Elephas maximus indicus: one gene and its partner. The main gene of each other region encodes a partner of the protein of the gene in region 2 in a complex. Links are inferred from orthologs where the notes say so. Each region holds a gene or a part of one and is shown on either strand. Other genes may lie near its edges.

Region 1 (16,604 bases), on a different chromosome or scaffold from region 2:
TCCCCAAACTCTACATGCCACAGTGGTCCTCACGTGAGCTGTCTGTACAACTCACTCTGTACTACCTTGTGACAACTCTTACAAGGTTGCTGCATTTTTCTTTTTTGCGTATCTTCTCACTAATTACTGAGTCACTTTGCTGTTGTTAGGTGCTATAGAGGTGGTTCCGACTCATAGCGACCCTATTTGCAACAGAACAAAACACTGCCCGGTCCTGTGCCCCCCTGTTGCTATGTTTGAAGCCTACTGTTCAGCTACTGGGTCAACTTAGTCACTTAGAAATAATATTCATTGACTAAATGAAGCATATACTTATTATAATAAACCAAAACCAAACCCGCTGCCATCAAATCAATTCTGACTCCTGGTGACTCATGTGTTTCAGAGTAGAACTGTACAACACAGAGTTTGCACAGCTGTAACCTTTCGGAAGCAAATTGCTAGGCCTTTCTTCTGAGGTGCCTCTGGGTAGGTTCAAACCACCAACCTTTAAGTTAGTAACCCAGCACTAAACTGTTTGCACCACCCAGGGACTCCTGCTTATTGTAATTAAAAAAACCGGAGTTGAGTTGATTCTGACTCATAGCAACCTAAGAGATCAGGGGAGAACTGCTCCATAGGGTTTCCAAAGCTGTAAATCTTCACAGAAGCAGACTGCCACATCTTTTTCCCACGGAGAAGCTGGTGGATTAGAACCATCGACCTTTTGGTTAGCAGCTGAACGCTTAACCACTGTGCCACCAGGGCTCCTCGCTTACTATAATACATCAAAATTATCAAATGAGGGCATATTTAATATCCATCACAAAGGCATGCTTTCTTTCACTCTAAATAAACAAAAGCTCTTGAGTTTATCTAACTAACTAATGACAATGCTTAAAACTGAAAGAAAGAAGCTACAAAGATCTGAAATACTTCCACTTTGTATAAGCACATCACAAAGAAACCACAAAAGATGGGCAAGGAGAGCAAAATAAATGAATAGCTTGAGAAAACCAAACCAAACTCGTTGCCATGGAGTCAATTCCAACACATAGCGACCCTACAGGACAGAGTAGAACTGCCCCACAGTGTTTCCAAGAAGTGCCTGGTAGATTTGAACTGCCAACCTCTTGGTCAGCAGCTGCAGCTCTTAACCACTATGCCACCGGGGTTTCCTATATAAACAATCCCAGATCAGAAGAAAAAAATATCTATAATACAGGAGCCCTAAAGTTAAGGGAAAAACTACAAATAAGGCATTAAAAAATCATGTTTATAAATATATTTTCTACTCAATAGACAGAAGACCGAGCCTGACACTGCCACTGCCACCGAGCAGATTCTGACTCATAGCAACCCTATAAGACAGAAGAGAACCGCCCCATAGAGTTCCCAAGGATTTCCTAGTGGATTTGAACTGCCCATCTTTTGATGAGCAGCCATAGCACTTAACCACTATGCCACCAGGGTTTCCAAGCATGACATACCCAGTGCCGTCGAGTCGATTCCGACTCATAGCGACCCTATAGGACAGAGTAGAACTGCTCCACAGAGTTTCCGAGGCGCGCCTGGCAGATTCGAACTGCTGACCCTTTGGTTAGCAGCCATAGCATTTAACCACTACACCACCATGACACAGGGAACATTTATTTACACCATGAGCTCAAAAGCATACGCGTACACAATTAACTTCTTTGTAGGTGTGCTTGTTTTTAATTCGGGCTTGTTATCTTAAAAAATGAGTTCAGAAATCAATTCACCATACCACAGACCCGGATTCTTAAAAGGAATAAGGCTCCTCATCAAAACACTAGGAACTGAGCAGAGAAGAGATCTGGGAGAATCAGCAGGTAAGGACTCTCTCAAACCTTAAAGGGTTTGATGCTTATTTGCAAAAGCAAGTCTTCCCTAAAGTTTTTAAAATCTTCCCTAAAGATTTCAGTTTACTACAAAAATTGTTAAACTGTTCAGTCACTGCAGCTTCCAGTATCTTCCTGAAATTCTGATGTATTCACTGGAGTACGACTGTTTATGAATGTTTAGCTTTTCTTGTCTGAAAAAGAGCTTCCCTTATACAAATAAATGTCCTGCAGAACCTGCATGTCAGCCAGCCATAGCTGTAAATGTTACTTTTTTTGCCTATAGGACTAGCAGTGCATCTCTAAAGCTGACCCCATCTTAATAATACACACCAAAACAAAGATTTCATTTTAGATTTGAAGTAATTACATTCATGCTAGTTAGCTGCAGCTGCCCATTTTTTTCTTTTTTTTAAGGAAACTACTCCAGATACTTCAGGAGTTTTTGCTGCAAATCAGTTGATAGCGCACTAGATGAGACTGAATATTTGCACTACCAGATAACAGAAAAGGAACACGAAGAGTCATGAGATTTCAGTCTGGGACAAACAGGAGGTACTCCTATTTGTTGTTATCAAAGTACACCCTGCTAATCTTGGCATCAGAAAGGAAAACCACATGTAGAAATACTATGACAGAGTATTTCATTAGCCTCTTATCTTACGACTTAGTGACAATTTTCTCCATCTTTTACATTAAATTATCCCTTTTTCTCCTCAGACCTTTCCAGCTCTCTTCCCAGGAACCTCTAGCTCCTTCCCTAATCTCCCAAACTTCAGCTTTCGGTTAGGAATGTGATTTGTTTTTAAGATTCAAAAGAGAGTTGTGTTTTGCTCTGTATATCAGAATTGCCTGCCTGAAGGGTATATCTGCATTATGACTTACTTTGAATTTTGTACAATCTCGGCTCTCCCATTCTCTAGTAATGTCCCATTTATTAAACTGGATGCAAGGCTTTTCTTTTCTATCACTAGAAAGAAAAAAAATCAATACTAATCTGTAAAAAAACGAACCTCTCTCTGCAGGTGTCAGACTTGATTCCTACTCAGCTCAAACAGTGCTGGGTAGAAAAAGTCACCATCAAGCCAAAAATTTCTTCTTTCCTTCTCTTGCCAAATTATGCTGCTATGCTCAGACCAAAACCTCAGGAATATAGTGGAGTAGAAAAAAACCAAGAAATGAATTCCGTATTTAAACACAAAGAGACAGAGGCAGGTTCTAGCTTCCCTTCGTTCAATCACTGGAGGGATAACTTTGGGCAAGCTGGTTATCCTCTCCGGGCCTCAAATTTCTCATCTTAATGTGAACCAACTCATTAGAAAATCTCTAGAACACTAAATGTCTATATTCGCTGTAAAGGAAATCACAAATCTTTAATGTTTATGAAAGCACCCGACGAGGCAGTCCATGAATATAACTCACCTGACGTACCTGCGATCTGCGTATGTGCACACACAAGCTCAAGAGGGCACATAAGCATTTTTGGGCAAGAGAACAGGAGTGAGGAGAAGATATAGTGTCCATAGTTACATTAGATTCTTAAACAGCCCTGCCCATCCCCCCAAAAAGTTGAAAACTACTGAATTGTAAGACATTACACAAAGTATAGACATTAAACATTTAAAAAAAAAATAATCTTTGGGAATTTACAATGAACTATTCTTATCTCAAGATGCAGTGTTTTAACAGCTCCCGCAAGACTAATTTTGAAGAGATAAACTGAACTACTAGTACTTTCCTCATCAGTACAATCAGCTTGTGATGTACAAGACAACAACAGGAGAAAGTGGCAGGAGTGATCCAGAAAAGAAGGTGATTCGACTAATTTGCCTTTGAAATGCACTACTTTTATGTCAGATCTATTCTTCCAACTATGTTCTGCTTAGAAAAGTGTTAACATTATTCCAGGAGAAGGCAGCCCAGAAAAGCACAACAGAGGACAAACCTGTCTGAAAGTACAAAAAATAAAAGCAAAGTCATGTCTATAGTGACATAGTATAGCACAGCCAAACAATGACTATCTGGGTATTCTAGACTCAAATACAAAAAAAAAAAACACAGTTAAGAGTGAGGCTCTGGAGTCAGACTGCCTTGCTCCTATCCCAGCTGAGATTATTAACCATGTTTATTTACTAGCTATGGAGCCTGGGACAATACACTAAATCACTCTGGCCTCAGTTTCTTCACCTGTGAAATGTGATTAACAATAGTACTTAGGGAAACTTTGAGGCTTAAATGAGATACTATGCATATTAAAACAATGCCTAGCACATAGTAAAGACCAAAAAAAAAGCTACCATTACTTCTCTTACCCAAAGCGCTAATCAAATAAGGATCCATGAGGCCAATGGTAAATAAGATCCGGAGAAAAGTCAACCTCATTTTATCCAGAAGCTTCAGCTGTCACTTCTAAACTGCTTATTTTTACAAAAGCAACTAACTAATAACAAAATTAGTTGATTTGTCTTTCTCTTTGATCCCACAAAATCATTAGTAGCGGTAACAAGCAAAGAAGCCACCGAAAAAGTAAAGGGAGCAAGAGGCAGAGGTCCCAGAGCAGCACTGTCCAGTAGAACCTTCTGGAGTGATGGATATGTTTTTATATATACGTTATCTGATAGGGCAGCCGCCAGCCACGTGTGGCTACGGAGCACTTTAAACGCAGCTACTGCTACTGAGAAAATAAATTTTTATCTAATACTAAATAATTTAAACAGCCACACGTAGCTGCTGTTGTTGTTAGGGGCGTCAAAGACGGGTGGGACTCACAGCAACCCTGTGTACAACAGAACGAAACACCGCCTGGTCCTGCGCCATCCTCGTAATCGTTATGTTTGAGCCCGTTGTTACAGCCACTGTGTCAACCCACCTCCTTGAGGGTCTTCCTCTTTTTCATTGACCCTCTGCTTTACCAAGCATGATGTCCTCCTTCAAGGACTGATTCCTCCTGATAACATGTCCAAAGTATGTGAGACTAGTCTCGCCACCTCGCTTCTAAGGAAAATTCTGGCTGTACTTCTTCCAAGATAGACTTGTTTATTCTTCTGGCAGTCCACGGTACAGTCAATATTCTTCGCTAGTGGCTACCTTACTGTGCAACACAGTCATAGATGATCCACGAACTGAGTAAGGATTACCAAAAATTTAAGCAAAAACAGGAGTTTTCTTTTCCTGAATTGTTCATATGTTCAAGTGTTTGGTTTCAGTGGAGTCCTAGTAATTATGACTAGTCAAAGAAATAACATGTCAGCTGATACATCGATACAGTGAGAACCCATGCTAATAAGATAAGAGATATGGGTTCTGCTGGTATTTTAGAAAGTCCCCGAGGCCAAGTTAAATTCCAGCTCACATGAAGCATGATTCAGTACACGGATCAGAGCTGCTGCGGTCCTGCCTTACCAGTACCCTCAAAGCATCTATTTCTCCACTACCAAACAGAAAGCTACTTATACTATGCTGACTGAACATCTCTGCATTTACTTTCAATTTTTTCAGAAATTCAGAGTTCCATAAGCCTCCCCCTCCTTCAGACACACTAGGGTTCTTGGCCATTTAGTCTTTTGCACTATAAACAAAACTCATGCACCACCCATATCTGAAGGATAACGCCAGACTCCTGCTTAGCTGCCCCCGTAATATGGTTTAATTATGATGACTGAACTAATAGGCTGACATCATAGACTTTTACAGGCTGACCCCAAGTCATCCTGATGTATCATTTTGCACCAGTTCAGTGCTGTAAATCAATTTAAGATCTCAAGCAGGTTGAAAAGGCTGGTAATGATGCTTTCTCTGCCGTCTCTTGAGACTCTACATTATACACAACTTACATTATTTATAAAGCTTCAGTGATGCCTCCATTAGCCTTGTAAGACTACACAAATGAGACCTTTTATACACACAACTTGGCCTTGATTAAGTAGGCTACTGCAGCTCAAATACACTCGTCTAATTAGAATCAAGTTTATTCTTTTCCCAGTCTACCAAATTATTAATTTTATCCGTGACCCAGAATTACTAGAAATTGCAATTACAAACTGAAATTTAGTTCGGAACTCATAAATATATTTAGGAAAATGTGCCTTACTTCCTTTTAATGCTTCATCTGAACTTAGTAGAAAAAAAAATTTTTTTTTTACTTCAATTCTAAAAGGTGCAAGAGGCTGACACTGTTAATTCCTTAAAAACTGTCATTTCTCTAGAATGCAAAGGTCATCAGGTTTTCAAGAGTATAAAAGATACTGCAGAAGAAAAAACGTATTTGGTTACATACCTATGGTTGGAAGGGTCAAAACTAAATCAAGGACAAATCCCCACCCTTAGAAGAAACCTGATCCCGCCTGGATCCTCTAGAGGCTCCAACATCACCCATCTCCAGAAAACCATCTCGAACGACCCCGTTTACCGTTTCCTAAGAACTGCAGTATTACACAAATGGTATACCACCTCACAGAAATATCAAATAACTGCAAATGGGAAAGACAGAGGGAGGATAAACACTTTCATGAGAACAGCACAGTCAGGCCTTGCATCTACATCAGAATCATACAACACTGGTGCAAAAATATGTATGCCAATTCTGGGGCGGTGAACAGCCGTTCTGCCTCAGTTCTTTTTAAGTAGTGGTTCCTCCAATACGGCTCACCTACCTCCGATAAAATTTAGAGTGGTAATTATAAACAAGGCGAAAAATCAACACAGGCAGAGAACAGTTTTCTCACTGTGTTACTGAAGTGTGGGCATGTTATCCACGAGAGACGATCTGAGCGAGAGATGTTTTGAAATAAAGGCATTCTGTGATTTAGGTGCAAAGCGTTTCAGCCACAGAAGACACACAGCAATCATGCAACTTCTGTATCATTCCACATATTCAGAAACTTGAGATACAATGGCAATTAAGAAAAAAAAAACACGAGTGAAAAGAAAAAGGCCAGTTGTCACAGCACTCACGAAAACGCTGCTTTCCTCAGGAGATGGTTCTGAGACGGGCCTCAGTTTTCAGAAGGAAAGCGCCTTCCTGATTATCTTGCGCAGTGTATTTAAAAACTGCATGTACCTCCAAAGAAACAGGAGCCGCAGCTACTGGAGTTGTAAGATTCGCCAGGCATTTGTTCCTCTTCCCTTCCTAAGCACATCAAGGAAACGCTCTCCCTGGAAGCCTTCATATATACTCAGCAACTAGAAAAACAAGCCCACATCTGTCTCTCTCACACCCACCATCCCCATCTTCCAATACAAACAACCCCGAGAACACCTAACAAAGGCAGGGAGCAGGGAAAAGAACAGTTGTTCCACAGCGAACTCACAAATACACATGCAGTGAGGCAATCGAATCCAGTAAAGGGAAAGGAATGAGACGACACTTGAAGACGCAGGCGGCGTAGGCGGAAGACGAAAAAAAAAAAAAATTACGCGCCGCCAAACCTTTGAATAAATTAGAATTTCGGTGCGAACTTTCCTTGACCTCGACCCCAAAGGCGCGCTCGTTGGGACAGACAAGGCAACCCTTTGCGATGCGGAGGGGCCAGGGCACCCGTGTCGTCCTCCCGCGAGCCCCGCTCCCCGAGCCCGTAAACGGCAGCGCCGGCGCCGGTTCTCCAACTCCCGCAAGGGTTGCCCTGCCGGCGCGGGACACAATGGGTCCGCGGGCCGCGCACACGGACGCGGCCCGGCTGCAGACCGGGAAAGAGAAACCGGGAACAGGCGGAGGGGGAGGGCGGCCGGAGAGGTCCCGCCGCGGGCAGGGCCGGGGGCGAGGCTCCAAGGCCAAGGAATGCGGCTTCTCCGGCGCAGACCCAACAAAGACGCGAGGGGAACCCCGGCGGAGCCCTGCCCGGCCGGCTGGGCGCGAAGGGAGGCGGCGGCCGAGGTGGCAGGTTCTCTCCTGCGAGCGGCGGGGAGGCGCCCTCGTGGGGGAGGGGGCCGCTTCCCGGCTCGCCCCACGCGGCGCAGAACCCCCTCCCCTCGGCAGTCGCGCCGCCGACCCCGCACCACCCCGGCCCGCCCGCTAGCCCGTGCCGTCCGCGCCGGCTCAAGCGGCGGCTCTGGGAAACCTCGGGCGCGGAGGGGAGACGGCAGCAAGGCAAGCTGGGTTCGGTTCTGTTTCGTTTTACCGGGTTGGCGGCGCGCCCGTCCGTGCGGGCGCACGAATGGCCGGGCGAGCGGGGTCCCGCCGCCCGGGTCCGGCCGGCCGGGCGCTGCGCCGCGCTCCGCTCGCAGGGTGCCTCCCTGTTCCTCTGCCCGGGCTAAGGCGCTCGGCTTCTCCTTCCTCCTCCCGCCCGCTTGCTCCCGGAGCCTGGATTGATCTGGTCGCGCTGGCGTCAGGGAGTCGGAGCCGCCCAGCCTCCACTGCACCGCTGCCAATACCCGGCGCACTCGCCCGCCCGCCCGCTCGCTCGCTCACACGCGCACTCGCGCGCCGCCGCCTCCGCCGCGCGACCAGGGATCCTCTCCAAATTCCCGGCTGGGCCGGCCCGAGCGCAGCGGCGCCGGGGCCCGCGGACAGCGCGGGGAAGCGGCCCGAGCGACCGCCCCCAGCCCCACGCCCCAAGAAGGAAAAAGAACGCTGCGTGCTGGCTTTCCTGAACCTACCTCTTTTAATCCAGCTGCTGAGGTCTTAGTGCATTCTCTGCTAGCGAAGTTCAGTGTTCTGCGTGTTTATTTTCTGAAATACTCATTAACACATCCACCGCACCCACCGAACCACACTGTAAACGTGGAGTGTATTTTTGGCAATTATCTCCCGAGACCTCTTCTTAGGTCAAGTTTTCATAGCCCCTCATTCCCGAATGATTTGCAGGCCTCAGAATTTGCGGGTATCTAAACTTGGATGACCGAGTAACTATTGCATGCGCTCACAACCCAAAACCAAACTTACCATGTAGTTGATTCCGACTCACCAGCGACTCGGTAGGACAGAGCAGAACTGCCCCATAGGTTTCCAAGGCTGTAATCTTCAGGGAAGCGGACTGCCACATCTTTCTCCGGCCATGTACTCGTAACCCACCCAGTGCCCTCGATTCCGCTCATACCAACCCTAAATCAAAAGATGTGTTTTGTGCCAATTTGGGGTCCAATAATTTGAATAGTTCACCTTCTTGGCTCCAAATAATAACAGATGCCTGAAAGGAGTTTAGAAGTCTGTTTGGTCCAATTTCTACTATCTTTTAGAACACACAACTCCCCCCCGCCCCGCAAAGAAAAACTAGCTCTCATCTACCTGATCTGCACAACCCACCTGACCTGCATAGACATTGAAAGTATCTTTTCTTAAGAGTCAGTTTTTCTCTTGGCCAACCTTCTAGAAGCTGGCATAAAATCTTGGATAATTACCATATTGTTGAGTTAGCATAGAGGAAAATAATTATTCTGAGGAATAAGCTTCACATGAACCAAAAGAATTCCTACACCATTTTTTACAGTAAAGAAAATACCAAAGACTTACATAAATAAGTGATACTCTGCAATGGTTCATATGCCCTTATGAAATCTGGCATACCATTTTAAATTCTTCTTAATAATTATTATTTTTCATTCCATTTTAATTTTTCAAGGGAAATGCAACAAATTCCATAAAACTCATAAAATACCCTTTATAAATTAAATAGCAGAATACTTTTGCTAACTTAATTGCTTTCTTTGTTAAACTATTTGAGCACTTACTGGTCAATTCTTGGGCTTCATCTTCTTTTCCCTACCAGCAGCATTTGACACACTTGATCACTCTCTGCTCCTTAGAACAACAGCCAGAGTCAAAACCAACCAAACTCACTGCCTTGGAGTCTGTTCCGACTATTAGCGACACTGTGGGACAGAGCAGAACTGCCCCATAGGCTTTCCAAGGCTGTAAATCTTCATGGAAGACTGCCACATCTTTTTACCAAGGAGTGGCTGGTGGGTTCAAACCCACGTGTGCTTTCAGTTAGCAGCCAAGCACTGAAACCACTGCACCACCAGGGCTACTTACAGCCAGAGTAAGCCTAGTTAAATGCCAGTCCAATCAGGTCATTCCTCTGCTCAAAATCCTTCCTCAATAAACAAAATGTGATAAAAATCCTTGATAAATCAAACCCATTGCCATGGTGCTGATACCAACTTACAGCGACCCTATAGGACAGAGTAGAACTGCCCGTAGGGTTTCCAAGCATCCACTGATAGATTCGAACTGACTACCTTTTGGCTAGCAGCCACTGTGCCACCAGAGCTCCGTATCCATACAATGGAATATTATTCATTCATAAAAGAAGTGAAGTACTGACACATGCTACAACTTGGTGAGACTTGAAAACATTACACTAAGTAATAGCAGCCAGTCACAAAAGACACATATTGTATGATTCCAGATTCCATTTATATGAAATGTTCCAAACAGGCAAATCCGTAGAGACAGAAAGTAGATGCATGGTTGCCTAAGGCAGGGGGGAAATACCCTGGTGGCATAGTGGTAAAAAACTATGGCTGCTAACCAAAAGATCAGCAGTTTGAATCCACTAGGCACTCCTTGGATACTCCATGGGGCAGTTCTACTGCGTCCTGTATCGCTGTGAGTGGGAATCGACTGGATGGTAGTGGGTTGGTTGTTGTGTTGGAAGGCTGAGAGAAAGGTGAGTTTGGAGGAATGCTGGCTAAAGGGTATAGGGTTTCTTTTGGGGGGGTAACGAAAATGTCCTCAAATTAGTTTGTGGTGATGTTTGCACAACTTTGTTACTATATTCGAAGCCAGTGAATTGTATACTTTAAATGCGTGAATTATATCTCAATAAAACTGTTAAAAAACACTTAACTAAATGCAGCATATGGTGCTCGCTTGTATGTTGGATTGAGGGGAAGAGCGATAAAATCATATTATAAAGCTGTTCATGTTTTTTCTAACCTGTGGACGGCCTTTCTCAGTGCACCACTAGTAATCCCAAATAATAGCTATTAATACTACAAATACTATGGAATTTGATTTGGCACATTGTGAAAGTTATTTCTTCAAGTGGTAGTAAACATTCAGGTACATGTTTGGAAAGGACATTATTGGAACAACAGTGAATACCTGAATATGGACTGTCTGTTAAACATCATTGTATCGAAAAACAAACAACCTCTCTCTGTCTTTCTCTTTCTGTCTCTCAGCTCCTCTTTCATTCAATGTAGAAGTTCTCACAATGTGCGCAAGACCCTCCATGATCTTCAATCCCCACCCCTATTTACCTCTCTGACCTGTGTCCTACTCCTGATGAGTTCCTCAAGTATGTCTGTCCTCCTCACTAGCCCTGGAACGACCCTCGCACACCCTCGCCTCAATACCTCTGCACTAGCTGTTCCTTCCCTGGAAAGTGCTTACCAGAGTCAGCCACTTGGCTCACTCCCTCACCTCAAGATTTTACTCAACTGCCCCCATTTCAGTGATGCTTGCCCTGGCCACTCCAGCAACCCTCCCGACCCCTCACACACATATTTTATATCCTCTTTTCCTGCTTGTCTATGGATGTTTCACTTGTTGCTTTTGTTGTTAGGTGCCATGGAGTTGGTTCCAACTCATAGCTACCCTATGTACAACAGAAGGAAACACTCTTCTGTACCATCCTTCCAACTGTTGCTGTGTTTGAGCCCATTGTTGCAGCCACTGTGTCAATCCATCTTATCAAGAGTCTTCCTCTGTTTCACTGACTTTTTACTTTACTAAGCATGACGTCCTTCTCCAGAGACTAGCCCCTCCTAACAACATGTCCAAAAAACGTGAGGCAAATTCTTGCCGTCCCTCTTTCTAAGGAACATCGTGGCTGTACACCTCCCAAGACAGATTTGTTTGTTCGTCTGGTAGTCCATGGCATATTCAATATTCTTCCCCAACACCGCAATTCAAAGGCATCAATTCTGTAGTCTCTTATTCATTGTCCAGGTTTCAAATGCACACGAGGCGATTGAAAATACCATGGCTTGGGTCAGGCTAAGCTTAGTCCTCAAAGTGACATCTTCGCTTTTTTAACACTTTAAAGAGGTGTTTTATAGCAGATTTGCCTAATGCAATACATCGTTTGAATTCTTGCCTGCTGCTTCCATGGGTGTTGATTGTAGATCCAAGTAAAATGAAATCCTTGGCAACCTCAATCTTTTCTCTGTTTATTATGGTGTTGCTTATTGGTCCAGCTGTGAAGATTTTTGTTTTCTTTATGTTGAGGTGTAATCCATACTGAAGGCTGTGGTTTTCGTCAGTAAGTGCTTCAAGTCCACTTTACTTGCAGCAAGCTATGCTGTGTTATCTGCATAACACAGGTTGTTAATGAGTCCTACTGCATATCCTGATGCCATAGTCTTCTTTAGCAGCTTCTCAGATTATTTGCTCGGCATACAGATTGAATAAGTACAGCAAAAGGATACAACACCTTTCCTGACTTTAAACTGTGCAGTATCCCCTTGTTCTGTTTAAACAACTGCCTCTTGGTCTATGTACAGGTTTCATATGAGCACAACTAAGTGCTCTGGAATTCCCATTCTTTGCAACGTTATCCATAATTTGTCATGTTCTACACAGTGGAATGCCTTTGCATAGTCAATAAAATACAGGTAAATGTCTTTATGGTATTCTCTGCTTTCAGCCAAGATCCATCTGACATCAGCAATGACCTCCCTTGTTCCATGTTCTCTGCTGAATCCGGCTTGAATTTCTGACAGTTTCCTGTCAATATACTGTTGCAACTGCTTTTGAATGATCTTCAGTGAAATTTCACTTGCGTGTGATATTTTGATACTGTTTGATACTTTCCACATTCTATTGGATCACCTTTCTTTGGAATGGTCACAGATATGGACCTTTTCCAGTTGGTTGGCATGGTAGCTGTCTTCCAAATTTCTTGGCATCCACAAATGACCACTTCCAGTGTTGCATCTGTTCGTTAACTGAAACATCTCAATTGGTATTCCATCAGTTCCTGGAGACTTGTTTTTTGCAGTTTCAGTGCAGCTTGGACTTCTTCCTTCAATACCATCCATTCTTGATCATATTCTATCTCCTGAAATGGCTATTGACCAATTCTTTTTGGTACAGTGACTCTGTGTATTCCATCTTCTTTTGATGCTTCCTGCATCATTCAATATTTTGCCCATAAAATCTTTCAATACTGCAGTTTGAGGCTTGGATTTTTTCTTCAGTTCTTTCAGCTTGAGAAATTCCAAGCATATTCTTTCCTTCTGGTTTTCTATCTCCAGGTCTTTGCACATGTCGTTACACTTCACTTCATCTTCTCTAGCCACTCTTTGAAATCTTCTGTTCAGCTCTTTTACTTCATCATTTCTTCTGTTTGCTTTAGCTGCTTGATGTTCAAGAGCAAGTTTCAGAGTTTCTTCTGACATCCATTTTGGTCTTGTCTTTCTTTCTTGTCTTTTTAAAGACCTCTTGCTTTCTTCATGTATGATGTCCTAGCACAACTTGTCTGGTCTTCAGTCATTCATGTTCAATGCGTCAAATCAATTCTTGAAATAGTCTCTAAATTCAGGTGGGATAAACAAAAGGTAGTACTTTGGCTCTTATGGACTTGTTCTAATTTTATTCAGCATCAATTTGAACCTGCATATGAGCAATTGATGGTGTGTTCCACAATTGGCCCCTGGCCTTGTTCTGACTGATGATATTGAGTCTTTCCATTATTATCTTTCCACAGATGTAGTCCATTTGATCCCTGTGTGTTCCATCTGGCAAGGTCCACGTGTATAGCCACCGTTCATGCTGTTAAGAAAAGATATTTCCAATGAATAGGTCATTGATCCTGCCAAATGCTATCATGTGACCTCCAGCATCGTTTCTATCACTAAGGCATATTTTCAGAAACTACTGATTCTTCTTTGTTTCCAACTTTGCATTCCAATCACCAGTAATTATCAATGCAGCTTGAGTGCGTGCTTGATCAATTTCAGACTGCAAAGGCTGGTAAAAATCTTCAGTTTCTTCATCTATGGCATTAGCGGTTGGTGCGTAAATTTGAATAATACTCTTATTAACTGGTCTTCCTTGTAAGCATATGGATCTTACCCTATCACTAACAGTGTTGTACTTCAGGATAGAAATTGAAATGTTCTTTTTGACAATGAATATGGTGCCATTCCTCTTCAGTTTGTCATTTCTGGCATAGCAAATCATATGATTGATTCAAAATGGCCAATACCACTCCATTTCAGCTCACTAACACCTAGGATATGCCTACAAGGAAGAGCAGTTAATACAACTAACATTCAAATTTACACACCAAGACCTAAATATAAAATCTAAAATGATAAAGATCATGGAAGGAAAAATAGGGACAATGCTAGGAGCCCTAATACATGGCATAAACAGTATACAAAACATTACTAACAATGCAGAAGAGAAGCTAGATAACTAGGAGCTGCTACGAATCAAACACCTATGCTCATCCAAAGACTTCACCAAAAGAGTAAAAAGATTACTTACAGACTGGGAAAAAGTTTTTAGTTATGACATTTCCGATCAGCATCAGATCTCTGAAATCTACATGATACTGCAAAAATTCAACTATGAAAAGACAAATAACCCTATTAAAAAATGGTCAAAAGATATGAACAGGCACTTCACTAAAGAAGACATTCAGGTAGCTAAGAGATACATGAGGAAATGCTCATGATCAAATACAAATCAAAACTATAATAAGATTCTATCTCACTGCAACAAGGCTGGCATTAACCCAAAAAACACAAAATAATAAATGCTGGAGGGGTTGTGGAGAGACTGGAACACTTATACACTGCTAGTGGTAATGTAAAATGGTACTACCACTTTGGAAATCGATTTGGTGCTTCCCTAAAAAACTAGAAATAGAGCTACCATACGATCCAGCAATCCCACTCCTTGGAGTACATCCTAGAGAAATAAGAGCCTTTACACAAGCAGATATATGCATACCCGTGTTCACTGCAGCACTGTTTACGATAGCAAAAAGATGGAAGCAACCAAGGTGCCCATCAATGGATGAATGGATAAATAAATTATGGTATATTCACACAATGGAATACTATGCATCGATAAACAACAATGATGAATCCGTGAAACATTTCATAACGTGGAGCAACCTAGAAGGCATTATGCTGAGTGAAATTAGCCAGTTTCAAAAGGACAAATATTGTATGAGACCACTATTATAAGAACTCAAAAAATAGTTTAAACAGAGAAGAAAATACTCTTTGATGGTTACAAGAGTGGGGCAGAATGGAGAGAGAGGGGTTTTCACTAATTAGATAGTAGATAAGAACTATTTTAAGTGAAGGGGAAAACAACACACAATTCAGGAGAGGTCAGCACAACTGGACTAAACCAAAAGCAAAGAAGTTTCCTGAATAAACTGAACACTTTGAAGGTGAGCATAGCAGGGGAGGGGTTTGGGGACCATGGTTTCAGGGAACATCTAAGTCAATTGGCATAATAAAATCTATTAAGAAAACATTCTGCATCTGTCTGTGGAGAGTAGCGTCTGGGATATTAAACACTAGCAAGCGGCCATCTAAGATGCATCAATTGGTCTTAACGCACCTGGAGCAAAGGAGAGTGAAAAACACCAAAGACACAAGGTAATTATGAGCCCAAAAGACAGAAAGGGCCACATAAATCAGAGATTACATCAGCCTGAGACCAGAAGAACTAGATGGTGACTGGCTACAACCGATGACTGCCCTGACAGGGAACACAACAGAGAACACATGAGAGAACAGGAGAGCAGTGGCGTGCAGACCTCTAATTCTTGTAAAAAGGCCAGACTTAATGGTCTGACTGAGACTAGAAGAACCCCGGAAGTCATGGTCCCCAGACCTTCTGTTAGCCCAAGACAGGAACCATTCCCAAAGCCAACTCTTCAGACAGGGCTTGGACTGGACTAGGGGAAAGAAAATGATACTGGTGAAGAGTGAGCATATAGGATCAAGTAGACACATGAGACTATGTGGGCAGCTCCTGTTTGGAGGGGAGATGAGAGGGCAGAGGGGGTCAGAAGCTGGCTGATTGGACACGGAAATAGAGAGTGGAGGGAAGACACGTGCTGTCTCATTACGGGGAGAGCAACCAGGAGTATATAACAAGGTGTACCTAAATTTTTGTATGCAAGACTGACTTGATTTGTAAACTTTCACTTAAAGCACATTAAAATCAAAAAGAAAGAAAGAAAATTTGGTAATGGTTTACATGGAGGCAACTGCTTTAGAAATTACTTAAGAAAAACCAATAGGATACAGAAATTTGAAAAATAAATACAATCACCATGAAAAAAAAAATTATGTACCAAACACTAAGGCCAAAGATGAAGAAAGTGAAGATTTTTATTAACTTCTACAGTCTGAAATTGATCAAACATGTAATCAGGAAACACTGATAATTACTGGAGACTGGAATGCAAAAGTTGGAAGCGAGGAAGAAGGATCGGCAGTTGGAAAATATGGCCTTGGTGATAGAAATGATGCTGGAGATCACATAATTGAATTTTTCAAGACCATTGACTTCTTCGTTGCAAATACCAGTTTTTACCAACATTAACGGTGGCCATACACGTGGACATGGACAGATGGAATACACAGGAATCAAATCGACTACATCTGTGGAAGAGACAATGGAAAAGCTCAATATCATTAGTCAGAGCATGGCCAGGGACCAACTGAGGATCAGACAATCAATTACTCATATGCAAGTTCAAGTTGAAATTGAAGAAAATTAGAACAAGTCCACAAGAGTCAAAGTAGGACCTCGAGTATATCCCACCTGAATTTAGAGACCATTTC
Region 2 (16,081 bases):
AGAAACCACAGTTTTGTGTGTTGGCTGCTCCCCTATCCTCTGCCAGTGTACAAGAGGAGAAGTAGGCTTACGCAAGGATGCCCTTCATATAGAATGTGGTATTTGGGTAGCACTAGGTTCTTTTGACAAAGAGCTGTTTCTCTTCTTATTGGGAAGAATTGGCCTGGAAGTTCGAAAGACATAGTTACTGCCTTGTCCTTCAGTTGCTCAGCTTGAAAGAGTCCTGGGTTTTTGCTAGTAAAAGAGCGCCTGGAGTTACACAGACAGATTGATGGCTATTGGCAAAGACAAAGCTTCTGTCTACAGTATATGTGGTTATTGGAGTGGGTATAATCCTTGGTGGACTAATAAATACCATCATGATAAACGGAGAAAAAATGGAAGTATTAACAGCACCCTGAATCAAGATGAGTGGGAAAACATCCCAATAAACACATTTTGGATACCCCCCCAAAAAGTGATATAGCTTTGAATTGTAGTAAGTACAGTCTTTCTTTTCTCTTGGTAGCAAGTATATTCTTCAGTGAAAATAAAACTTTTGCCATTTGAAAACTCTCACTTAATAAAGACAGGTTTTGCACCCTGGTCCTCTGCTCAGTTTAGACATCACAGATCTTGCTCTTGGAGCAGAGTGCAATGTTTAAAACGATTGTTACCTCTATGTGACCACCTAAGATGAAAACGCACAGTGGAAAAAGATGCAGCTTGCAGAGAAGAAGCTGCTCAAGCCTTTTAAAAAGCAAAGGTCACGGGCTGCCATAGGAGAAATAAAATTACAAAGCAATTTGTCCCAAGTATATTTGAATTGGTGATGTCATTCCTGAATTAATCGCTGCTGGTTAAAATTTTTTTCTATTGTAGTAAAAAATGTATATCATAAAATTTGCCATTTTAACAATTTTTAAGTGTACAGTCAGTGGCATTACATACATTCACAGTGTTGTGCAACCATCACTGCTATTTCTAAGACTTTTTCGTCATCCCAAACAGAAACTCTACAATCATAAAATTCACTGCTAATTTTTGAATGACTTCAGAAACCTGTTGTTGTTTGGTGCCATTAAGTCGATTTTGACTCACGGTGACCCCGTGTGTTACAGAGTAGAACTGGCCTACAGAGTTTTCTAGGCTGTAATCTTTATGGAAAGGAGCCTTGGTGGTGCAGTGGTTAAGCACTCAGCTGCTAACCAAAAAGTTAGCAGTTCAAACCCACCAGCGCCTCCTTGGAAAACCTGTGGGGCAGTTCGACACTGTCCTATAGGTCACTGTGAGTTGGAATCAGCTCAGTGGCAATGGGTTTGGTTTGGTGGTTTTAATCTTTACAGGAGCCGATAGCCAGGTTTTTCTCCCGCAGTGCTTTTGAGTGGGTTCAAATGGTCAACCTTTCAGTTAGCGGCCAAACGCCTTTAGAAACTTGCTGCCTAAGATATATGGCAAAAAGGCCACCTTCCTCATGCATCCTGGTGAAGCTGGTGACTCCTTCCCTTTCTCTCTTCATACCTATGTCATGTTGGTGTCCATGGAGAAGGGGAAAGCTTCAGCCGGGCTCTTCTGTCTGATTTATACATTTTGTTTTAATGATTTGTTTCTGTCTACTAACGTGGACACGTCAGGGATGATACCTCACTGACCTTTTTTAACTCCTTGCCTACTGGCACAATGCCTGGCACACAGAAGATTCCTGAGAAATGTTTGCTTAATATTGTACAGTACAACAAATGGGCTGATTTAGATGCAGCTGACTAGGAACCTTTCATGGGATTTACAGTCTTGAGTGACCCCGAGATGAAGGGGCAGATGGCATTAATTCCTAGGAGAGTAGAAGTGGCAACCTGGCCATATTCCTTCTGCTGAAAGAATTTGCTCCTTGGCTGTTGAGGTGTATTGATTGACTACTGGTCGTTTTCTAGCTTGGACAAACAATGGTTGTTACTTGCCATCGAATCAGCCCTCAACTGGTGGCGACCTCCCAACACACAACTAAACAAAATTGTGGTCCTGGACCATCCCCACGATCAGTTACGGATCAGACCCTTGTGAGCCACAGAGTTTTCGCTGGCTGATTTCCGGAAGTAGATCACAAGCTTTTCTTCCTAGTCTGTCTTAGTCTGGAAGCTCCACTGAAACCTGTTCGGCATCATAGCAACATGCAAGGCTGAGACGGGGTGGGAAGGTTGGGGGTAGCTATGAATTGGGGGCCTTGGCCAGGAATCCAACACAGGTCTCCGGTGGAAGGCAATAATTCTACCACCGCACCACCACTCCCTTGGACCAACAATACAACTTTTCTAACACTGGAAAAGAGGACTACTATTACAAATAAAAAACCTGTTGCCGTCGAGTTGATTCTGACTTGTAATGACCCTATAGGACAGAGTAGAACTGCTCCACAGAGTTTCCAAGGAGTGCCTGGAGGATTCGAACTGCCAACCTTTTGATTAGCAGCCATAGCACTTAACCAATATGCCACCAGGGTTTCCACTATTACAAATATGTGCATATAAACGACAAAATTGTGCTTTCTAAAATATGGTTCCTGGGAAAAGTCTCAAAGTCTTAAAACAATTCCTTGGTCTAAGTCCCGTTCATTCAGAGAGGCCTGGACACGCAGAGGGTTGATGCAGACTGGGGAGACGGACAGATGGACCAAAGTGTCTGCTTTAAGCACAATGCATGCTATGATACATGCCTAGAAAGGGGGGATGAACCTGGATTTGAAATATTTATCCTTAAAAACCTCTCACACTCACTAAGCAGGAATAAAAAAAAAAAAAACTAGTAATTAGGTCTCATCCCTCCCTGCACATACCAGATGCGACTAAACCCCAAATTAACTTAATTTGTTTATACTAGTGCCTTTAAATAATGAGGAGGTACAGCTCCCAGCCTTCTCCTGGTACTAGGGAAATCTTTGTCACATTTATCTGTGTGGGTTTCTATTTCTGCACCATCAGGGTAAGATAAAGGCTCCCCGAGTTAAACCGTGTATAGAGTATGCCCAGAGCTGCCTCAGTGACTGGTTCTGCACATCTGCACGACTGGGGAGTCAGGTCACCTCCTTGCCAACAGAAACTGTGGTTAATATTTGCCCCACATGGTGTTTGCCACACATGGGCACTTACAACAGCACTTTTTTGATAAGGAGAGCAAGAGCATCTAATTTATGAGTTTTCCAGTTGGTTTTAAATCATAGACCTACTTTAGCCTCTCCTCCTGACAGGCTGCTTCCATGTTGACAGTAGAGTCAGTAAGTACTTGGGGAATCAAATACCAACTCGAATTTAAATACCGGTATCTGTTTAATCAAACTATAAAATACCCATTGTCATCGAGTTGATTCTGACTCATAGTGACTCTATAGGATAGAGTAGAACTGCCCCCTAGGGTTTCCTAGGCTGCATCTTTACAGAAGCAGACTGCCACATCTTTCTCCTGCAGGGCAGCTGATAGGTTCCAACCGCCCACCTTTTGGTTAGCAGCTGAGCGCTTAGCCACTGCACTACCAGGGCTCCTTAAGCTACAGGCAACGTGTATCTGCTGCTGTCCTTCCCTGTCACATTCCTGAGACAGCCATTGGCCATCTGGGCCTATTCAGTATCCAGTCCTCTTCCTATTTAGGAGAAAGCCCCGTTGTGTGCAATTTTGGCAGGAGACAGCGTCCCATTTCCCACTACAAAGGTGAACCTGCCCTCGTCTTTCCTTCTTGCTGTCTGCAGGCAGCCAGGGCATGGGGCCTTATCTCTGCTCAGACTGGCAACTCCTTCCAGGGCTTACAATCTTGAGTGACCCCAAGATGTGGGTACTGAAAAAACCAAACCAAACCTGCTGCCATTGAGTCAATTTTGACTGATGGTGACCCCACGTGTATACTGAGTAGAACTGCCCCATAGGGTATTTTTAGCTGTGATCTTTATGGAAGCAGACCACAAGGCCTTTCTTCTGTAGCATCACTAGGTGGGTTTGAACCACCAACCTGTAGGTTAGCGGTGGAGCGCAAACCATTTGCACCACGCAGATGGCATTAATTCCTAGGAGAGCAGGCCGTACTCCTGCTGAAAGAATCTGCTCCTTGGCTGCTGAGATGTGTTTTCTAGCTTGGACTTAGAGTCGTCGAAGGATTCAATGATCCTCTGAAATTCTTCTAATGTGTTGCATTTTTGCTTAAGTTAGCGAGAGTTGTTTAACAGTCTAACGAAAACACCCTTTGTTTTGGATTTTGTACAACCCTGCTCTCTTGCATTAGTTAGGAGTTAACTGTCTACCTGGCTCTCAGATGCAAGCCGGAGTCAGAATCACCTGGAGGACCTGTTAACACACAGGTTGCTGGGCCCTGGGTTTCGATGCGTTAAGGCTATCTAGGACGGGACCTGATAGTTTTCATTTCTAACCGTTCCCAGGTGCTGCTGCTGCTCTGGCGACCCCACTTTTGAAAACCATTGGTCTAGAATAGACTCGATCTCCGTCCAACCCTGTCCAAAGACTAGTACGATATTTAGCCAATAAACAATGATTCGGGGTCTTACGTGGGACTTCCTCTGGGTTGATTTCCCTGGTTACTGTTGCTTACATGTTATAGGTGAGTTACGACGAATTTGGAGAATTTTTATTTGTCTTATTTTCCCAAACATATTTCTCCAAGGTAGTAGTAGCACTAATAGGTTTTGGAGTGAAGATGAGCCTGCACATTTTACTCATAAGAACTACTGTTTATTGAGTCCCTCCTATATTAACTGCTACTTCTACATCCATGATTTAATTTAAACCCCACAATAACTTTGCATGAGAGGCATTAGCCCCATTTTGGAGATAAGCAAAATGAGGTTTGGAGAATTTAATTACCTTCCTCTATCACCAGCTGGGGAAACCCTGGTGGTGTAGTAGTTAAGAGCTATGGCTGCTAACCAAAAGATTGGCAGTTCGAATCCACCAGGGTGCTCCTTGGAAACCCTTTGGGGCAGTTCTACCCTGTCCCATAGGGTCGCTATGAGTCGGAATCGACTCCATGGCACTGGGTGTGGTTTTGGTTTGGTTATCACCAGCTGGTAATGTGGTGGAGACAAGGTAGAGTGTGGGGCTGTGTGAGTCCACAGCTACTCTCTTTTTAGCACAAATTATGGCCTTCAAAAGGAGCAGTGACCGCACATGAGGTGCGCTGGCGGGGGATCTAACCTGGGTCTCCGTCAGGGAAGGTGAAACTCTACCACTGAACTACCACACCACCTCCCCCCAACACACACAGAAGGATATCCCCAAAGTTAACTGCTTGATCACTTTCTTTGGAATAGGGGTTCTTAATCTAGGGAGTATGGGCCATTATAGGATCCACGAATAGGTTTTTGGGGATAATGAACCCACTGAAGTTGGTAAAATTTGGTGTGTATGTGCACATATGGATTTTTCTGGGGAAAGGGTCCAGAGTTTCCATTAGATTCTCAAAGAGGTTTGGGACTCAAAACAGGTTAGAACTACTCAGTCAGAACAAAGAGAGATGCCCAATAACAGTGACACAAGGAAGTGGTACATACGGTGGAAATAGAATCAGTTGGCAAGCCTCCATAGAAGGCAGGGGCAAAACTGCTCTTTGTAAAGCCATTGCAAAGAGGACATTTGGAGGGACTCATTGAGTTTTTTTCAGCAGAACTGCTTGACATTTCATATCTATCTGGCCCAGAGATCTCTGGAAGGTAGTACTTCTGATGAAGGTTGATACATGGTGGAAGGACATCCAGGTAGTTCAATATGTGGGCTGGCCCAGCCGCAGAACGAAACAGCAGCTGATGATTTTTAAGTGGGCAAATAGCTTTTATCATTTTTATCAACTTTCAGTGGAGTAAAGTACGTGGGGAGAAGATATGGCAGCTATGCAGTCACACTGGCCTGGAAACACACTGGAAAATGCATTCACGGACACACCTCTGCACAAGTTGTTCAATCTGTCTGCATTTCCCTTCCTGCCTCTTTGCCCAGCAAACCTGAACCCTGCATTTAAGCTCCAGATCAAGGCCTGCTGTGACTCTTCTGAGACCTCCCCAGCCCTCTCCTCCTAGGCAGAATTGTCCTGCAACCCCTGGTCTAGCCCTCTGTACCCATCTCTGTCCCTCTACCATTGTTTCCCTGTCAACTGAGGCTCTGAAAAGCTAAAGTAGTAACCAGTGCTAGTTGCCGTCAAGTCGATTTTGACTCATGGTGACCCCATGTGTGTCAGAGTAGAACTGTGCGTCACAGGGATTTATTTTTTTGGAAGTAGATTGCCGAGACTTTCTTTCAAGGTACCTCTGGGTGGACTCAAACCAGCAGCCTTTCAGTTAAGCAGCCAAACAATGTTTGCACCATCCAGGGACTCCAAAATGCTAAAGCCATGACTTATTTTGTGTCCCTTGTCCCTAGCCACATAGTAGGTGGCCGATGTTGGCTGAGCAAACGCTAAATGTAGAAAGCATTAGCTACCATTCAGGTCCCCTCTGTACAGGCTGTGGTGAGATGACTATTTTGTGCATCTACTTAGATGACAACAGCAATTATGTGTTAATGAGTAAACAAGATGCCTCTTGGTAATCTCCAAAAGCAACCTCTTGACTCAAGGGTTGAAGAAATAAGCAAAGGAAGGCCCAGGCATCAAGGCAGGTGAGAACACAACGAGGTTAAGAAATGCCAGGTTTCTAGGGTGGAACAGCTGAGGCTTGGGACAGGGGCCAGTGCTCAGGTAAGCAGAGAGAGATGTTTGGTTTGGTTTGGGGAGAAGAGACTTCTTGAATTTGGGAATAAAGAGGAGAGAAGGGGGAATACTGACTGGACTGAAAGAAGAATGGCCATCACTTGGGGTGTCAGACAACACACTGAATGGATTTATTCAGGCCAAGGGACTCTCAGTCACAATTGCATAAAAAGAGAAACAGCTGGGTTCTGGGTCTACTCCTCTGTTGGTTAAACATAGCTTGTATTCTTGGATATTACACTAGAATCATTGCAAGTCTGAGCTGCAAGGGACCACAGAAATGATCTGAGCCCATCCTTTCATTTGATGCTTGAAGAAACTGAGGCCCCAAGAGGCAAAGCCTTGGGTCCAGCCTATGACAGACTGCTTTCACTGGGCTCAGCCAGAGGCAGGACGGCAGGGAACGTCCAGAGACTCTAGGCAGAGGGCTTTGTTCTGAAGACTGTGAGCTCAGGAAAGGCCCAAGGCCACAGGGAATGTGAGCAGTTGCCCAGACCCTGTCTGGCTTTTTAGAAAGAGTTGCCACTGAATGATTCATTGTGACCTCATATATGTCAAAGTAGAACTATGCTCCAAAGGGTTTTCAATGGCTAATTTTTCTGACATTGATTGCCAGGCCTTTCTTCCAAGGTGCCCGGTGGTCTGGAACCTTCATACGTTAGCAGCTGAGCCCATCACCCAGAGACACCATTTTTAGGACACAAACCAAATAAAGGCATTTAAAAGAATGAGGTATTTGGTCAATAACAAGTTTGATAAACCCACCTTTTCCTCTCGATTAACACGTTATTTCCTCTCCATATCGTATTAACAATAAGAGCCATTTGTTTGCTGGGAACGTCTAATGAGCCTTTAGCGAGCAGAAGGCGGGAAAACACGGCAGTAACTGCTAAACTGTATGCAGATTAGATATTAACCTCTTAACTTTATCCCTCTCTCAACTGTTGTTTACTTTGCCCACACAGGGCACTTCCTGCCATTCTGGCAACTTCCATACGGGGAAATCAGAGCGCAGGAGTTGCGGAGAACACACACCTAACGGACTTTGTCTCTGACAAGTCCCTCCCTTGAAACTGCATTATCGAAACACAAAATACGCTACTGAATGTCTGCTGGTGCAAGGTACTTAGTCTAGGAACAGGGCACCGACACAAAGGTTTCGTGTCGCCCGTCCTTCAACAGCTTATGAGGAGTCCCGGGCCTGGAGTCAGAGACCTGGGAAATCGGTTCCTTTCTCGGAACCTCACGTCCGCATTTGCACGTCGGCTCCCTGGGAACCGTCGCGGACACTGGAGGCGCCGGGGCGCGGGCAGCGCCGTCAGCCGCCTGTGGCGGACCCCGCGCGGTCCCCTCGCAGCCTCGCCGCCGAGGAAGGGGCGCGCCGGGTGCACCCCACGCCCAACGCCGCATCCCCTCCTGCAGGGCGCGGGCGAAGCCCCCAGGCCGGGCGCCAGGAGGCCGAGCTGCTGACGTAGGCGCGCGCCCCGCCCCGCCCCGGCGTGCCCCGCCCCGGCGTGCCCCGCGGGCGCGCGCACGCAAACGAGCGCGGGGGCGCACGGCCCGGGCGCGCGCAGGGCCGGGCCGGCACAGCGGCGAGAGCGCGCGCGGCTCCGGGAGGCGGCGGCGGCGGCGGAAGCGGCGAGGGCGGCGGGCGTCCGGCTCTGAGGTGGTGGCGGCAGTGGCGGCGGCGGCTCTGGACTGGGCTCGGCTAGGTGCGAGCGAGGGCCGGGGGGCGCTGGGGCGAGTGCCGATCCCCCGGCTCGACCATCCGCCTGCCGCCCGGACGCCTGGGCCGCGGAGTTTGTGTCCCGGCTCGGACCCCGGCGCCCAGCCCGGAGCCGTAACCTTGAGGCGGCGGCGGCGGGGCCGGACCGGTCCGGGCCGGGGGGCGGCGGCGCTGGATCCGCGGCCACCCGATCGCTGGCGGGAGATGTCGAATCCCGGGACGCGCAGGAATGGCTCCAGCATCAAGATCCGTCTGACAGGTACGGCCGGCGGGGGGCCCCCGCCGCCCCCAGCTCCCACTCAGACCCCGCGCCGCCCCTCACCAGCCCCGGCATTTCCCCCGTATCGCCCTTGGGATGTGTCCCTCCCCCAACCGGCCGTTGTCCCAGGACCTCCTCACCCCCCTCGGTGTGTGCCCCTTGTTGCTCCCGGCCCCGCCCCCTCGCTTCTGCCCAGGCCCCGCCCCCTCGCTTCTCTCCAGGCCCCGCCCCCTTGCCTTTCGCCCCCATCTTCCTACTTTCTTCCCTCCTCCCTCACACCTGCCTTCTTCCTTCTCCCTCCTGGCCCCACCCCCACGCTTCTCACCCCCACCTTCCAACTCTCTTCTCCCTCACACCTGCCTCCTTCCTTCTTCCTGGCCCCGCCCCTCGCCACCCTAACCCCGCCCCCTTACTTCCTTGCCTCTTAGCTCTCCCACTAAGGTCCCCTCACTTCCATCCTGGCCCCGCCCCTGCCTCTCCCTAACCACGCCCCCTTCTTCGCCTCCTAGCTCTTCTCCCACTATCGTCCCCTCGCTTCCATCCTGGCCCCGCCCTCGCCTCCCTAGCCCCGCCCCTTGCCTCTCCTTAACCCCGCCCCTTCCTTGCCTCCTAGCTCCTCTCCCACTGTCCTCCCCCACTTCCATCCTGGCCACGCCCCCTCGCTTCTCTCCTCTTGGCCCCGACCCCAGGCATCTCACCATTTCCCCCCAACTTTCCCCTCCTCTCCCCCCACCTGCCTCCTCTCATCTTTCTTCCTCACCCTCCTCACCCTCCCCTGGTTGCCCTCCCTCTTCCCCCACCTGTGCCTTCGCCTCTCCCCTACTGGCCCCGCCCCTTTTCTTGGCCACGCCCCTCGTTTTTCTCTAGCTCCTTCCTGGCTTATCTCCCATTCCTGCCCCCTTGCTGCTTTCTCCGGGGCCCCAACCCTTTCCTTGAGCTCGAGCTCCTGTTCTCCCGTCTAGCTTCTCCCAGTCCTCTTGCCTCACTTCTCCTTTGGTCCAGACCCCTTCAGTCTAGCCCACTTCCTTTTCCTCTCAGGCCAGACCACTCTCTGCCCTTGACGCTGCTGTTGCAGTTCGCGGCGTCTCTGTATTGCACTTGACCATCATCCTGCCACTCAACACTCTTGAGCCCCTCTTAGACACCCCCACCCCCGCACTGGAGGCTTTGGCAGCTGCAGAAACCAGGCTTCTTGATTCACTCTCAGTCTTCAGTGAAGAGTCCCTGTTTCCTTGGTGGCTCAGTGGTGCCACTTCAGGGGGGAGCGTGCCGCTCTGCTGTAGTTGGGATGTGTGCGAATGTGAACCTCCCTAGTGCGCTCCAGGGGTTCTGGACCAGTCTGCATCCTCGCCTGCCCTTTCTCCCTCCTCTTAGCTTGTTCCGGGTTCACCCTCTGCCCTTCCAGCTTAAATTCACGCCTAAGGCAGTTTCCTCCTGTTGCAAATGCGGTGTTGCTGGGGGACTTTCCAAACTCGAATATTTCCAGCTCTGGAAAGGAAAGAAAAAGTTTCATCTAATCCCTGTTACGGATTTTCCTCTCGATTTTTCCTTGTGCAGTTTCTGGCCTAGTGCGGATTCCGAAGCCAGTGTCTGCTCAGTTCCTTTCAAAGGAGAGAATGAGCGTTTTGAACACTTTATGGCAGAAACAGGAGCCCTGGTGGCACAGTGGTTAAGGGCTTGGCTGCTAATGGAAAGGTTGGGGGTTCCAAACCACCAGCTGCTCTACTTTATAAAAATGTGGCAGTCTGCTTCTCTAAAGATTGCAGCCTTGGAAACCCTATGGGGCAGTTCTGCTCTGGCCTGTAGGGTCACTATGAGTCGGAATCCACTGGACAGCAATGGGTTTTTTTTTTTTTTAGTTGCTCTGTGAGTGCCTTAACCAAAAAATAAAAATAAAAACACCAAAACCCACTGTAGTCAATTCGATTCTGACTCAACAGTTGGTGATTTTTTTTTTAAAACTAAAGATTCCCTCGAAACCCCATAGTTGTTGCATGATCCATTTTTTTGTGTCAAGGAAAGGGTTGTAATTATTTGTCCTTTTACAAGGATGTCAGATCAGGAATGACTTGGGCCCAAACCCAGACAGACCATGGTTTTGTAAGGTCACAGGTATATCCCATGGGTCTTTGCTTCTGGAGAGACGTTATCCTTTATACCAGGGCCCGGATATGAAAGACTTCTATGTGCATATATACATTAAACTATTTTTATGGCTACATAAAAGCCATGTTTTTGACATTGTAATACTTGTAAAACTTTAATTATTGACTGCTTTAATTTGGTTTGAATTTACAATATAATCTATAATTGATATTAGATCATTTTCTGTTTTCTTGCTAAAAGAGAAGTAACTGATTTTGTGAGTTTTGTAGAAATGCAACTCACGTTTTATAAGGAATAAGGTTTTAGTTACAAATGTATGTGTTAGATTCTAGGATATATATATCCTGGTTGGCAGGTCTGGGCCTAGTCCTTTTCCTTGTGAAAGAGAGGAAGATTGTTTTTGGATTCAGCAATCAAGATGTCATAGATACAGAAACGTTTCTGAGTTTTTGGATGACGTTGGATATTAAGGGATCAGGGATGATGAGTATTCTTTCTAAAGGACCTTTTCCCTTCCCCCCATCGTTAACTGCTATGGAGTTGGCCCCCGACTCATGGCTACCCCGTGCACAACAGAATGGAATGAAACACTGCCCTGTCCTGCTCCAGCCACGTGATTGGTCGCAGATTGAACTGTTGTGATCCATAGGGTTTTCATTGGCTGATTTCGGAAGTAAACTGCCAGGCCCTTATTCCTAGTCCATCTTAGTCTGGAAGCTCTGCTGAAACCTGTTCAGCATCACAGCAACACTCACACCTCTGCTAACAGATGGGTGGTGGCTATGCACGAGGTGCCTTGGCCAGAAACCGAACCTGGAAAACAAAGCTGGGTGTTGTGAGAAGTCTACCACAGAGCCACACTGCCCCTTTCCCGCTAGTAGATACTAGGAATGGATCTGAGAGGATGTGTGAGTGTGAGTGTCCCCGATACAGGATTGGCAGCTTAGTGATGATTGCAGAACACACATGTTGGCAGTTGTCTGTTGAATATTAATTTATGTGGAAACGCTGGAACGAACTGTTTTATTTGAAGATAGGCTTTGGCCTAATTTTTTAAGGTTGCTATGGGAAGTTTGAAATTTTTTCACTTTTGGCATATTGTGTAGCTATCTTTCAAAAGTAGACTACTTTTGTTACAGGTTTCACAGGTTTTTTTCCGTGTGTGGTTTTTGAAAATATGGCTTTAAAGCGAGGGACATTCTAGCCAGTAAACGAATACCACACAGAGCATAATTAAAGGCAAAATATAAAGACCTTGGAGTTATAAAAAAGCATTTAAAACTTTTGAATACATGATTGTATTTGGTTGTGGGTTGTTGTTTTGCGCCCTCAAGTCGATTCGGTCTAGACAGAGTGGAGCTGTAATCTTTACATGAGCAGATGGCCAGGTTTTATCTCCCAAGGAGCAACTGGTGAGTTCAAACCATCCACCTTTCAGGTAGCAGCCAAGTGCTTCATCATTGTGCCACCGGGATACCTTCGGCTGTAGGTAGAGCATTAGATTTAGAGTTAGGAGACCTGGATTCCGGTCATATCTACCATTAGCTGCGTAATATGGAACATATTATTTAACCTTCTGGGCCTCAGTTTCCTCATATATAAAATGAGATTTCAGTCTTCATTGTACCGTTCTTTGATTCTACTTTTCTCTCACAGGCTGTATGGGTTCGTATACCTGTGTACCCACATCACTGTGGGGCACTTATGCTTTCTGTTGTTAAGACTCAGTCCTGATATTCAGAAATTTGTGTCAAAGCACAGCACTTGGGTTTGACTTACGCCAAGCATTGATTTTGTGTATTGATTACATTTATGACTTTTTTTAAAACCTGTTTTGTTCCTGAAAATCTCTGGGTAATATGATGTTGAATTGCTTTATAAACGTGTTTTTAAGTAGTAGAAGAATGTTTGATTCTTTATATTTAAAAGGATATAACTTTAATGGATGTCTTTGTAGTATTTTAGCAGGAAAATAATTTTTAAAGAATTTCAGTAGGTTTTTTTGTTATATGCAAAATCAAGGGGTCTTTGCTAAAGAGCATTATCTTGGAGACATTTTAGAAGTCATGGGCAAAACACTTTGGGAACATTTTGATTTTAAATTCAAGCAGGATTTGCAAAATCTTTGTTCTTATGTGGTACACAAATGAGTCCCAGATACATTATTTTGGCCACTTTGGGTTAAAGAATGGAATTTTGCACCTGAAGGATTCCACAGTGCTGTTTGAGAAAATTAAATTTTACCCAAATGTTAATCAGTTGAAATACCAAATACCTAAACTTTCTTATGCTTTTGTGGCTTGAAATATTGTCAGACTTCCTTGTGCTTTTATATCTCTTGGAGCGTGACCGTGTATGTGAAGAGAGAAAAATTCTGATTGCAAGTGAAGAGGGGGAAGTCGACTTTCCTTGATAGCATGTGGAAATGAGAAGGATATTTTTAAAGCTGCAGCATATGGGATGAAAGGCCGACTTGGGTTTCAGCATCCAGATGGTGCACTTGGGGAAAAATAGTCGTAGCAATAACTGTTAATAACTTTAATTGATCGATAACAGGTGGCCTAATTGATTGGAAATAGTTAGGTTTCTTTTAAGAAAGATTTGATAGCTCTTAAGAATGTTGACTTTGTCAGTTTGTACCAGCTGAGGACCTCACTTATGTAAGGCAGGCTCTTCGCGAGTGGAACACAGTTGCTGCACTATGAAGGAATAAGTGATCGGTCTTTAGTGCCGCCTGACATCTAAAAAAAAAAGTGCATAACATTTTCCTTAGGGTCTGCCTCCAGTTTAAGAAGGTGTAGTCAAGGCACTTCTTTGAGCTTTATTATCAAGGTGTGTCAGATGGATTAGCTCAAATAGTGTTGTAAAACTTATTACATAAAAACAAAAATCACAATCTGCCCAGTACAGGTTCTATTACTGATTTTATTTGTGATTTGATCACATTTGTGTTGTCTTTAAAAAAAAAAAAAAAAAAGTTTTTTTTCCTCCCAAATTTGTGTTTTTTTCTTTGCATCTTATTGATCCATTTTAACTAACTTTACAAATGAAATATTGCATATACTTTTATGAGTCGGAATCTACTCAAGGGCAACTAGTTTATTTATATCTTCAGTTTTACAATAGTTGTGATTTATCAAACATTTTTGGCAAACGCGAAAGTCATTTCTGACGCTTGGCTTTTTCCTCTCTTCCACCAGTTTCTATTTATCCTGTTCGGTCACATTGTCATGTTGTAGTGTGGGCCATTGGGTAGAAGAAGGGGGGCGGGGTCCGAGGCCTGAGTCACTTGTATTTCCTCATGAATTAAAAAAAAAAAAATACTGACCCATAATATTTCCACATCAGCTCAATTGTCCGGTTAACTAGACTGGCTGTTTTGTAACACATTTGTGGGCTCTGGTCAAAAGTTAAAATAGCTGAATTGTGCATTTTACTGAGTGGTGAGAGAAAAAGGGAAGTTCAAAAAACCTTCTCAATCAGACAAAAGAATTTGACATCTTTGCAGTACTCTGAGTTTTTCTGATTGGGAAAGCCTAACTTTTAGCAGTCTTATTTGGATGAAATTTTTGTAATCTCAGAACCGTTTTAGAGATTAATTATCTTTAAGTGAATTAAAAAACCAAATCCGTTGTCATCGAGCCGATTCCCACTCATAGCAACCTTATAGAACAGAGTAGAACTGCCCCATAGAGTTTCCAAATAGCGCCTGGTGGATTCGAACTGCCGACCTTTTGGTTAGCAGCCGTAGCATTTAACCACTACGGCACCAGGGTTTCCTTTAAATGAAAACGGAGTAAAAAAGAAAAAAAATTTTTTTCCCCTCACCAAACAACATAAATCGGTGGTTTGCTTGTTTTGTTAAGTGAATTTTATGAAGAGAAAGCACCCAGCGTACACTGGCTTGTCCTCACTCACCCTAGCCAGCTAAAACCCCTCAGCTGTTCTAGTCAGAGACGAGCTGTAGAGCTGGGTTTAAAAAACACAAGCACGTAGCCATGTGCATGGACATGTCTCCTTTCTAAAATGTTAGACTTATGTACTGTGGTGTCTACAGATGCAATTTAATCCATTTATATATTTAAACTAAGTGGAATGTTGTTTCTACATTTCGGGATTAAAGGGAAAAAAACACCCTGTTATTGTTTTAAAAGAGGGCTTAAATAATGCGCAATCAGCGCGTCTGATGAGGCTCCCTACTCTGTAATTCCAGCTGTGTTCACCTCCATTGCAGCTGAAAGGAATTCTAATTGGCTGAGGAATGTCAGTAACATCATGTATCACTAAGCACGAACCTATTATGCTGGCTGCTGGGTGATGCATTTCAGATGTTTTCAGCTCCCGACCCCAACTTGGAGGTTGCTTTCAGGAGTCTGGAAGAGTGTTGTGAAGCTGTGGGATGCAGACGCAGCCTGCCTTCTTCTTAGGATGGCCATCCGCTGGGTGCTCTGTGGGCATCCTGCTTTCTTGTGCGTTAAGCATTGGCTCGGGAGGCAGAAAGTTCCATATTTTATTTCTAACTCCTGCAAGCGCCCACGGAAACCCTGGTGGCATAGTGGTTAAGAGCTACAGCTGCTAACCAAAAGGTCCGTAGGTTGAATCTACCAGGCGCTCCTTGTAAGCTCTATAGGGCACTTCTACTCTGTTCTATAGGGTCGCTATGAGTCAGAATCGACTCAACAGCATCAGGGTTTTTTTTTTTTTTTTTTAATTGCCCACAGTGAAGAAGGGGGCTGTAGAAGTATAATCTTCTTATGCCTCAATTTCCCTATGTGTAATGTGGGATACTGCTTTTTTATAACTCACAAGGAGCTGACAAAGATGGATGACATATTCTGATGAAGAGTTGGGAATTATAGAGTAAAAAAAAAAAAATAGAGTAGCACAGTATAAATACAGTCATGGATCCCTGTTGCTGCCTATTCCTAAATAACCCATGTAAATGATAAAGCTAATGATGTCTCTTAACACTGAAGAAAATCTGTAGAATTTGTTGATAAGCATGGACAAATAAAAAGTAAAAAAGAATTATTAAGTTCTCTGTGTATTCAGAAAGTTCCCTTGGAGAGAGATTGTTAGAAGCTAAAGCCAGCGTCATCAGTAATGGTAAAACTTTGGGAGCTTCCCGTTACAATTAGGATCACTACAGGGATGTGCACTGTCACAGTTGTTATTAACCAGAGAAAGACAGCAGAAAGGATAAAACAAAATTGCTGTTATTTGCAGGTGATATGATTGTGTACCTTGAAAAACCCCAAAGAATTGGATGAAGCAC

The links.
Region 1: the proteins of SMURF1 (region 2) and SMAD1 are in contact, whole or in part, in an NMR structure (PDB 2LB1), measured with the Homo sapiens proteins. The link is inferred for Elephas maximus indicus from reciprocal best matches to the Homo sapiens genes SMURF1 and SMAD1. Residues at the interface, in NP_065162.1 of Homo sapiens: Glu313, Val314, Arg315, Ser316, Arg321, Tyr323, Val325, Asp326, His327, Arg330, Thr331, Thr332, Gln333, Phe334; in NP_001003688.1 of Homo sapiens: Asp221, Thr222, Pro223, Pro224, Pro225, Ala226, Tyr227, Leu228, Pro229, Pro230, Glu231, Asp232.

The regions. Positions count from the first base shown.
Region 1 is NC_064831.1:39,412,942-39,429,545, forward strand, and holds the start of SMAD1 (mothers against decapentaplegic homolog 1), read right to left. Parts: upstream 8,265-16,604; 5' UTR 8,248-8,264; intron 8,047-8,247; exon of another isoform or gene 7,958-8,046; intron 6,990-7,957; exon of another isoform or gene 6,901-6,989; intron 1-6,900. UniProt on the Homo sapiens protein: Transcriptional modulator that plays a role in various cellular processes, including embryonic development, cell differentiation, and tissue homeostasis.
Region 2 is NC_064830.1:102,565,618-102,581,698, reverse strand, and holds the start of SMURF1 (E3 ubiquitin-protein ligase SMURF1), read left to right. Parts: upstream 1-8,316; 5' UTR 8,317-8,645; coding exon 8,646-8,700; intron 8,701-16,081. UniProt on the Homo sapiens protein: E3 ubiquitin-protein ligase that acts as a negative regulator of BMP signaling pathway. Mediates ubiquitination and degradation of SMAD1 and SMAD5, 2 receptor-regulated SMADs specific for the BMP pathway.